Linked DNA regions of Drosophila melanogaster. The protein of the gene in region 1 purifies or fractionates together with the protein of each later gene. This does not show direct contact. Each region holds a gene or a part of one and is shown on either strand. Other genes may lie near its edges.

Evidence for each region.
Region 2: the proteins of lola (region 1) and for purify together in Drosophila melanogaster (affinity purification with western blotting; one study listed by BioGRID). This does not show direct contact.

What each region holds. Positions count from the first base shown.
Region 1 is NT_033778.4:10,539,975-10,544,867, reverse strand, and holds the start of lola (longitudinals lacking), read left to right. Parts: upstream 1-1,576; 5' UTR 1,577-1,963; intron 1,964-2,872; exon of another isoform or gene 2,873-3,027; intron 3,028-3,094; exon of another isoform or gene 3,095-3,523; intron 3,524-4,893. UniProt on the Drosophila melanogaster protein: Putative transcription factor required for axon growth and guidance in the central and peripheral nervous systems. Repels CNS axons away from the midline by promoting the expression of the midline repellent sli and its receptor robo.
Region 2 is NT_033779.5:3,653,857-3,658,749, forward strand, and holds the start of for (foraging), read right to left. Parts: upstream 3,098-4,893; 5' UTR 2,866-3,097; exon of another isoform or gene 2,852-2,865; intron 1,730-2,851; 5' UTR 1,414-1,729; intron 1-1,413.

The DNA.
Region 1 (4,893 bases):
ATTTCTTTGAGCGCAGCTTTTTTAAGCTGCTGCGCGGGCGTCGACGCCGACAGCGCTACACTGCAAGAAAATATTAGTAATAGATCGGTCAAAACACTTTTCCAAATCTTACGTTTGCTCTCAAGGCATTGTAATGTGCCAATTGAGTTAGAAATCAGTTAGAAATTATATGCATATTAGCAAAAATGTAGTTTCATAAATGAATTTAAATTCTACATTCCAGTAAAAATATGCTTACTGACTTTAGTTAATCATAACACATATGTATTTCTCACCGTGTAACAGCATTATTGTTGTTCTTGTTTTTCGTGTAATTATGATCTTGTGCTGACTTTTTTATATGTACATGCATGTGTACATATATTTGCTCAAATCAAGTAATCAGTTATATTTAAGCATCAAAATCAAGTTTTGGCAATTGCTAATGCAAGGCGGTGGTAAAAAACGACCAAAGATTTATACGAATGTGTGCCGTGAACATTGACGATTTTATTAGAAAGTAGCAATTGGCAAAACAAACAGATATGCAAAATGGCAAAATGCAAAAAAAAAGAGTGGATCCATAAATTGAAAGTTTAATCTTTTCTTGACACCTTTCTACTTCCCCAGTCGGGAATTTTAATTGCCTCGCAAAAAATAATGACAGGTGTCTGGTGAATTATCTTCTTCAGCGCTAATAGCATTTATTTTATTTGTAGTAAAATTACCTAAATTAGCTTTTTATGTACATTTACAAATTTTAAGTTCTGCATCTGCATGGTGAGATCATTTCAGTTGCCGTGTAAGCTTCTTAAAAAAAACTGTGTATATATGAATGTATATATTCTTTCATATATGTATATGTATATAAATTTATAATCACATAAATATTTATGTACTTATGTAAATATTACATAAATGTATGTACATAAGTATGTTCCTCACTGCTTTGTAATCTCTAAAAATTGTAGAACCTACATTGTAAATTATGTATGACCTTGACATTTCATAATTTTTTAGAAACATTTCCACTTGGTTTATAAGAATTCGTTAAAAATTATGTTATGTATGTACATACACACATTTCTATGTACATATGTACATAGTACATCATGTGGCTTAAATCTCGTATTATGCCATGCTCTCATTATGCTTATTATAACTCTTATACATACAAAAAGTATTATAAAAGTGTTTCCCACAAATTCCACGTTTTATTTGACGATCTAAATACATAGCTTTTTACATAGAACTCCATGTGCCATATTTCCTTATGTGCTAAGCAAAAAAAAAACACATTTTCTTTGCCTTTTCATTTAGCGCGACTTCCTTTTGCCACAACCCCTTCTTCTTCTTTCTTTTCTTCCCCTCAATTCCCGCGCAAAACGCTTTTTTCCAACGAGACAGTTGCAAAAAGCAATCAACTGTATCGTGGAGTGTCCCCATCTCGCTCGCACTCACTTGTTCTAGCGCACGAACGATCTTCGGTTTTTCGAATGCAGCAGAAAGAACAACAAAAGCAAAAACTTCGTGCTCACACACACACGCAAAGCCTATTTCTTTTTTCGACTTTTATTCGAACTTTTTTGCAGCGATTTTTCAGTAACAAACGGCAACTCTCAGGAATAAAATCGTCGTCGCTCCGCTCGTTAAATTCTCGTTGCTTTTCCACCCACATAAAAAATCAGGATAAATTGTTAGTAGTCTAAAAAACAGTGCGGATTGCATAAATTCAAGCGGAGCACCGATTGGAAAAACACCCACGGAAAAAACTATGTGATGTTAAATACGTTTTTGTGTCGAGTGCATAATTTGTTGTAATTAAAGTTCAACTGCAAATGCAAAAAGACGAAATATATAATAATTTATAGGTGTTTGTGAGTGTTTGCGCCCCCTCTCCTGTGCAACGTGTGGGAAAGAGAGAGAGGGAGTGAGAAAGAGGGAACGTGACCGAGTTGCCATGAAAACTCCAATGGAAATTCAGGTGAGCGATTGTCAATCGACGTGATGTTATGCGGGGACCATCATCTCTATACGTTCACCTTTCATATGCACACTGTAGCCGTCGAAAAGATCTGTAGAATTTATGATTTTGCCACAGAAACGACACTCCTCGCATCAATTAGTATTGGTTAGAACATTTGGCATGCGTGTAGAATTTCGCACAGAAATGTTAATTTTCCAGCTGAAAACCCGATGAAACCGTTAAAAATTAAGGTACATATTTAGGTACACATAATTTGTACACCGAAATTAGAGAGAAAACGCGCGGCGATGAAGTCATGCTGGAAGCCAAAAATAAATCAACGCCGATCATAAAAACGTTTGGAGAGTGCACAAAATATAATTTGCGCTTTTTAGTGGGAAATGCATTGCACACACAAGCCGAGACCATCTTTCATCTCCCTCGCACACCCTTAAACAACTGCAACGAGAGATGGAGAGAGGTGTCGGAGTGGGGGAGAGAGAGAGCTTGCTCGGCAACGGTAATTTTACCATTTCGAACATTATGGCTTCGCTTTGCTGCGAAAAAAACAAGCAAAGCTAAAGCAACAACAAAATCTCGCCCCATGGTGGAAAACAAAAACAATACCAATGCGAATGATATTTTCGAACTCCGCCAAATATGTGCAAGCAGAGTTGTCAGCCTCGTTCGTTGTCACTTACAGTATATGAGGTTCTATTGAACAACTTTATTAATTAGTACGTACGACTCACATCTCACTGTCTATGCCAAATACTATTTACCACGTAGAGACCCTAAACAATTTTTGTGATATTCATATTCAATACTTTCTCCAATTATATTTAACATTGTCTTGAGATTAGCAAAAACGTTATCGTGTTTTTATAGACAGGCTTTTCAAGTAGTGTAGTTAGTAAATTTGACGTCCGTTGGAAACGTATTTCCTTCTTCCTTGATGTGGAACTTAAATTAGGTGGCAACCAGATAATGAAAAGCGTGTCCTCCTTCTGCATCATCCTAATTTGTCGATCTTTTGTCGTGAATTGGCAACTCTGTGCGCCAAGCATACAAAAAGCACACGTCTGAAGAGGGGTGGCAAACAGGCGACGTCAACTTATTTTTCGAACTCACACTCTCATTCGCACTCACACTCTTCGGGTTTCGCTTCGGCTTCGTTTCCAACTCTCTCGGCGCTCTTCGGGGTCTCTGCTTATGGGAACCTTTCGTTTTTTCGAGCACCAGCGGAAAGTCGCGTCAGTCGTCAGTTTTTCTTCAGTGGCTTCGCGCGTCCGCAATTTTCAGTGTGTGGTGCGTTGTTGCTGCTGCCTACTCTTTTCTTTCTGCTCTCCACGGCAGCGGGAAAGGAAAATACATACACATGCATACAGGGCCCCATCACATACAGTAAAAATAAATTCAACTTTATTGCTTTTCCCCCCGTCGCGTTATCGTGTGTGTGTGTATTAGTATTATATATATTTTACTATATATATACATATATGGATTGGAAAAGCAACACCAAAATTTGATATGTGCAAAGTTTATTGACGACTACGTGCTGCCTGTGATTCTATTTCGGTGTGTATATAAAATTGATCAATAATGTTTTAAAGTACCGCTTAATAATATACAATAAGAACTTGCATTTGAACTGTACCTGGCAATTATCTGCCTGAGATTGTGTGTGTTTTTGCATATCGAATCGATACTTCCAGTGGTGTTTCTATCGATTTTTCCCTATGCTCACTTCACGGGAGAAAGCTTTTCACCAATGTACGAAAAGAGACAGGCACAGACAGAGCAGGAGAGGGAGAGCTTTCCCACAAAATGCAACGCTGAAGTAAATGACGGGCGGTTTTCATTAATTTTCACACACGCACACACTGCCAGTGGCTCACTTTCCATGCAAATGAGGTCAAGTGTTGCAGTGGGAAATGTTTTCTACAAGTACACGTGTATGTGTGCGCGAGTAGGAAAGTTATATAAGCTTTTCATTACCGATTGCGACGAGGGAAAGCTTGATAAAAAAAACTATGATTAGTAAACACGAAGATTGCCAAGAGCGAGTTCAATTAATTGCTTTCTATTATAAACTCCTACAAAAAAGCACGTTTTTCATTTCGATAGATTCCCAAAGTCTTGGTGGCCGCCATCTTGGTTTTTCCCCCACACATAAAATATTTTGTTCAATGCTAGGCTCTCTCGCTCTTTTGGCTCCCCTTTTCTTTCTCTCCCGCTCATTTTGTCATACTCCCTCGTCAGTTTTTATGTTTGTTCACGAAAAACAAAAACAACAAGCGTGAAATTTTCTCTCTGCACTTTTCACACACACTTAGAAAAGTGGGAGAACCAGACGGCTCAGCATGAGGCAAGGAGGATGATGAGGAAGGGAGAGAGAGAACAGTCGCCACATATTTTTGTTTCCACTTTGTGCTACACTTCTGCTACGCCGCTTTTGTTGTTTTCTTTTCGACACGTTTACACATTTCCATTTTTCATATTTTCGTGTCGCCTAATCTTTTTTATGGGACTGCGCGACGTTGCTAAATTTCACTTGTGACTTTTGCAAAAGTTTCATTTGTTTACATTCTACGCACATGTGCAGAATAATAACAATAATAAATGAGATATAAAAAAGCTTTTGCGCAACAAGTGTAGAAAAGCAAAAACTGTATTTTTCTCTTTGGTTTCTTGCCTTAATTCTTTGTTTACAATTTAAACTTGTACACTTCTTTCAAGTCATCAACTTTTTTTCCTTTTAAAACACCATGACCTTGCATCGAATTTCTGACCTACACACGCACGTGCAAAAAAAGTTTAATATGTGTCGCACTTTTCTATTATCCACTATTCTTAATGTTCTTGTCTTACAGTAAACAGCAAAAATATAGAAAAAATAAAACGAAGGCGGGGAAAAATAATGAGCGGCCGTTATCGCAACCTGCTCT
Region 2 (4,893 bases), on another chromosome or scaffold:
CACGCCCAGATTTAACTACTGCAGTAAATATCTTGAGCAGATATAGTAGCAAAAATAACTCCGAATTATGGCAGAACTTAAAAAGAGTTCTTAGATATTTGAAGGGCACTATCGATATGAAATTGATTTTTAAAAAGAACTTGGCATTTGAAAATAAAATTATTGGTTATGTGGATTCTGATTGGGCTGGTAGTGAAATTGATAGAAAAAGTACAACAGGGTATTTATTCAAAATGTTTGATTTTAATCTCATTTGTTGGAATACAAAGAGACAGAACTCAGTAGCAGCCTCATCAACTGAAGCTGAGTATATGGCCCTATTTGAAGCCGTGAGAGAAGCTCTATGGCTTAAATTTTTATTAACTAGTATTAACATTAAACTAGAAAACCCCATTAAAATTTACGAAGACAATCAAGGCTGTATTAGCATAGCAAACAATCCCTCATGTCATAAACGAGCTAAACATATTGATATTAAATATCATTTTGCCAGAGAGCAAGTTCAGAATAATGTGATTTGTCTTGAGTATATTCCTACAGAGAATCAACTGGCTGACATATTTACAAAACCGTTGCCTGCTGCGAGATTTGTGGAGTTACGAGACAAATTGGGTTTGCTGCAAGACGACCAATCGAATGCTGAATGAAATTTTTATATATATTTTTCAAATTTAAATTCCTGTAAACATATTTTGTTACAATGATCTGATCGGGTTTTTCTGGGTTTTCCCCGTATCCTCGCAGCAAATGCTGGATCAGTTAACACTTCCCAGAATGCACACCACCCACATTTGATAGTTACTAATGAATATTATTGTTATGTTTTTAATTATAGACGTTATTTTTGAGGGGGCGTGTTGGAATATACTATTCAACCTACAAAAATAACGTTAAACAACACTACTTTATATTTGATATGAATGGCCACACCTTTTATGCCATAAAACATATTGTAAGAGAATACCACTCTTTTTATTCCTTCTTTCCTTCTTGTACGTTTTTTGCTGTGAGTAGGTCGTGGTGCTGGTGTTGCAGTTGAAATAACTTAAAATATAAATCATAAAACTCAAACATAAACTTGACTATTTATTTATTTATTAAGAAAGGAAATATAAATTATAAATTACAACAATCACTTTCGGCTCTAAGGCGGAGAAAAGGGCTTAAAGACCCTGAGCCTTAATTGTTTATTCAAAGCACGGACCAGAAAAAGACAGCACTGGAGCAGTCGAAAGAGATGGGTATATAGACAAAAGGGCGCCTTGGCGAAAAAAAAAATTATTCAAAGGCCGAACGATTGTGCAATCACAAAGTTCGTAGGCGGCATAAATCCATAAATAAACAATAAGTATGAATAAATAAGTTGCTGTTCGACAACAGCGAACAGTAATTGCATATTAAAATGGAGCTTACATGTTGGACGAAAAGTGAAGAAATTCCAGGGTCGATGTAAATGTTATGGTTCCAGTCGCAGAGAATCGCTCTCTTTTCTTCTTGTTGTTGCGATCAGCCGGCTTTTGCGAAGAAAGTTTCTTCGTTTCCACTTGTTGATTTGTGATCGGCTGTCTCGCTCGCGCACTCTTCAGTTTCCTCGTTAATTCACAGGAAGCACAGAATTAAGGCCGAAAATATATTTATAAATGAAATGCAGGCGGCACACGAAACTTCGCCATCAATTTAGACGGCCTGCACTTTTGTTTTCTCGAGTCTTTCCACTTGCGTTGCGTTTCTATGAAATTGGGCATTAAAATTTAAATGCTATTAGCCACAGAACACGAACACGAAAGATTGGGAAATGAAATGAAGGAGAGAGAGTGAGAGAGAGTTCTCTCACTCGTCGCTGTTATTGTTATCACCTGAGTCGAATACAGTGGGACCCCCACTTGAAGATGCAAACAAGACTGAGCTTTTACCAATAGTATTCAATAGTTCACTGATATCGATTAAATAATTTTAAAACTTTTGATCAACATTGCTGATTAACGCTTATTGGATTTAAGAACATTCGATTTGTTAATACTTGTGATCTGGCTTAATATGATAATTTAAGTCGAGCCCCACTGTACTCTTTCTCGCGGATTTTATCGCTCACTCTTTTTGTTTTCAGTTCACTCTCTCTCGCTCCGCATAGTTTGACTTGTTGTTGTTTCTGCCAGCGTAGCGTAGTTAACTTGAGCGGCAGCAACAACAACATCAGCCATACTTGTTGCTAAAAATAGTAGCGGCGGCGAGACAGAAACAGAAAACAGAAAAACAGCGCGGCAGAATAAAATATGAAAAGGCGCACAAATTGGAAAAAATTGTACATGACGAGCAACAAAAACAAGCAGCAAGTAACAAAAAGGAGGAGGAGTAGTTACAACAACAACTGAGCTTCTGTTGAAATATATCAGAGAAAAGAAAGGCAAAGAGGCAGATCGGCGTAGAAAGGAAATGCGACGCAAAACTGCAGTCAAAGAATTAGTTGGAATGATGGACTGAAAAGTGTCAAGTTTAGCACGGAAAATTCGTCAGCTGAAGTGCGAAAGAGACAGAGCGAACGAGCAGCTAACAAGTGATTTTCCATGAAATTAATTGCAGACTGCATTTGAATTAATAATTTTCCACTTTGAAATCACAAACTAAAAGAGAGCCGCTCTCTCTTCCACTCTCTTCGCTTAATGCACCAAAACTGCATTCACAATTCACGTTTTACTAATATTTAGTCAACTTTAACCACTGCCTTTGCTTTAATTGCTTTTTAAGGCAAATAGTTGCACATATGGAAAACGCTAGTTGTTGTTTTATTTTAGAATTCAGAATTGAGCACAAATGCTAGATCGTACGACTAGCGAAAGCAGCAACAACTAACCAAGTGGCACGCACACACAAGCACAAGTCGATGAAAAACCACCGAACTAAATGGCGATGTGGATTATTCTGATAAACGCCAATGCCATATATATATATATTTTTTTTCTTTTATTAAGAACTTGTGCCAAAATTTGCAGGAAAACCACGCGTTGCATTGATTCTTATAAAAATGCCGCTAAAGTCAATTCCAAGCACGATCGCGACAAATGACAACCGCACAGCACGAGAAATTCCAACAGACTGAAAATGAAACAAACAACTTACTCGCTACCACTACTCGAATATTATGAAATAAAGAGCACATTAGCATTTTTTCTCTTAATTTTTAAAAAATTATTTTCTCTTCTGATGCAATGTTATGAATTAGCGTTGAGATAGAAAAAAAAAATTTAAAACAATATTATGCTCAATCCTTTCTACAAATTAATTACTTTAATCAAATAACAAAATATTCATATTAATAAAAGTGTACTTTGTTTGTTAACGTAAATATACTATGTGAAAGGAGTAGATTTAGTAGAGTAGTAGAATTTATAATATTTTCCCTGCTAGTTCTCTCAGAGATGATGTATCAGTTTGATTTTAATAATCATTCCGAATGAAATCATCATTGAAGTTGGTCAAGATCGGTCTTAAATTAATCTAGTATTATAAATTGCCAATGCAGGATTAACTCTGCGCCATGATTTATTCAACTTTTCTCGTATACTTTTGGAACTAACAGCACACAACGCCTATCCGTTTACGACAAATGGTGTTTGTTTTTGGAACTAATACAGCGCCATTTTTCATTTTAGTGATTTCTAACTTACGTTGTACGTTACATTTCAGATTTATTATGCATGTAAGATGTAGAATGTCATAGCAACTGGCCGTCATGTATGTAAATATGTGTATGTATAGGCATTTCAGAGCCATTTTCTGCTCATATGTAGGGGTGGAGCCTGAGAAGAGAGAAAATCCCAAAAGGGGAATAAGAAACTGGGAAATTTTACTATTTAACTCGTTTCGTAAGAGGGTATACTAGATTTGTTAAGAAGTATATAACAGGTAGAATGAATTTTCCGATCTTTTATGGTACATAAAAAGACATTTTTTGAAACATGTTGAAAATTCAAAATTTTTTAATTAAACATAAATGTTTAAGTGGAATAAGTAACATATTGTAAAAATTATTTATTAATTTTAACCGTTATTTATGTACAATTTCGTAAGGTTAGAAAAATCCAAGGATCTTTGGTCGGGAATTTCCCTCAAGAAGGCGTTGCAAACTTAAGACCACCCACCCCCAGTATTGTGCCACCCCTCCCCAACTTCGCAACCCTCTTTTCACCCCTCTGCCGCTCTCGCAGTCGACGTCGCCGGGAAGGAAGGAAAGAGATAGCAGCTGGGAGAAAGGACAAAAGGAGAAACGGGTCGGTGGAAAAGGAGGAGGAGAAAGTAGAGGAAAAGTGAGGCGGCAGCAAAAGTTGATTAGATGGATTTCGTTTGGTTTTTGTGTTTTTAATCACACACCAATTTCATTTATTAAATCTTCGCATCAGCATTTCATTTCTCGCATTCCCTATCTTTCTCTTTCCCTCCTTCTGTCTCTTTCGCTTGTGCAGTGCCTTTTTTGTTTGGCTTTGCGACGGCATTTTTGTATTTTCTGTACCGTAGTGTTTGCTCGTTTGGCCTTCTCTTTTCTCTCGCACTCCTGTTTGTTTGTTTGTTGTTTTCCCGTTCACTCATTGTCACGAGCAATTTCACTCTCTCTCCACACCCCACCACCCCCGTCTCTGCCCATCTTTTGGCCCAGGCAAAACTTTTTGCAAAATGAAATTGTTTTCGTATTAACAATTTCATTAAAATTAAATTACTTTTATTATTCCGACAGAATCAGACAAACGAAAGGAGAAAAAAGCCAGCCTCCCCTGCCGCCCCCTCACCCCTTTCAGCCATTTTGGCCCCCCATTCTACCCCCTTATTGTAAATAAGCCAAAAGCTTGGCGTCTGTTTTCTTCAGCTGTCAAACAAATTAATTGCGCTTTTAATTAATTT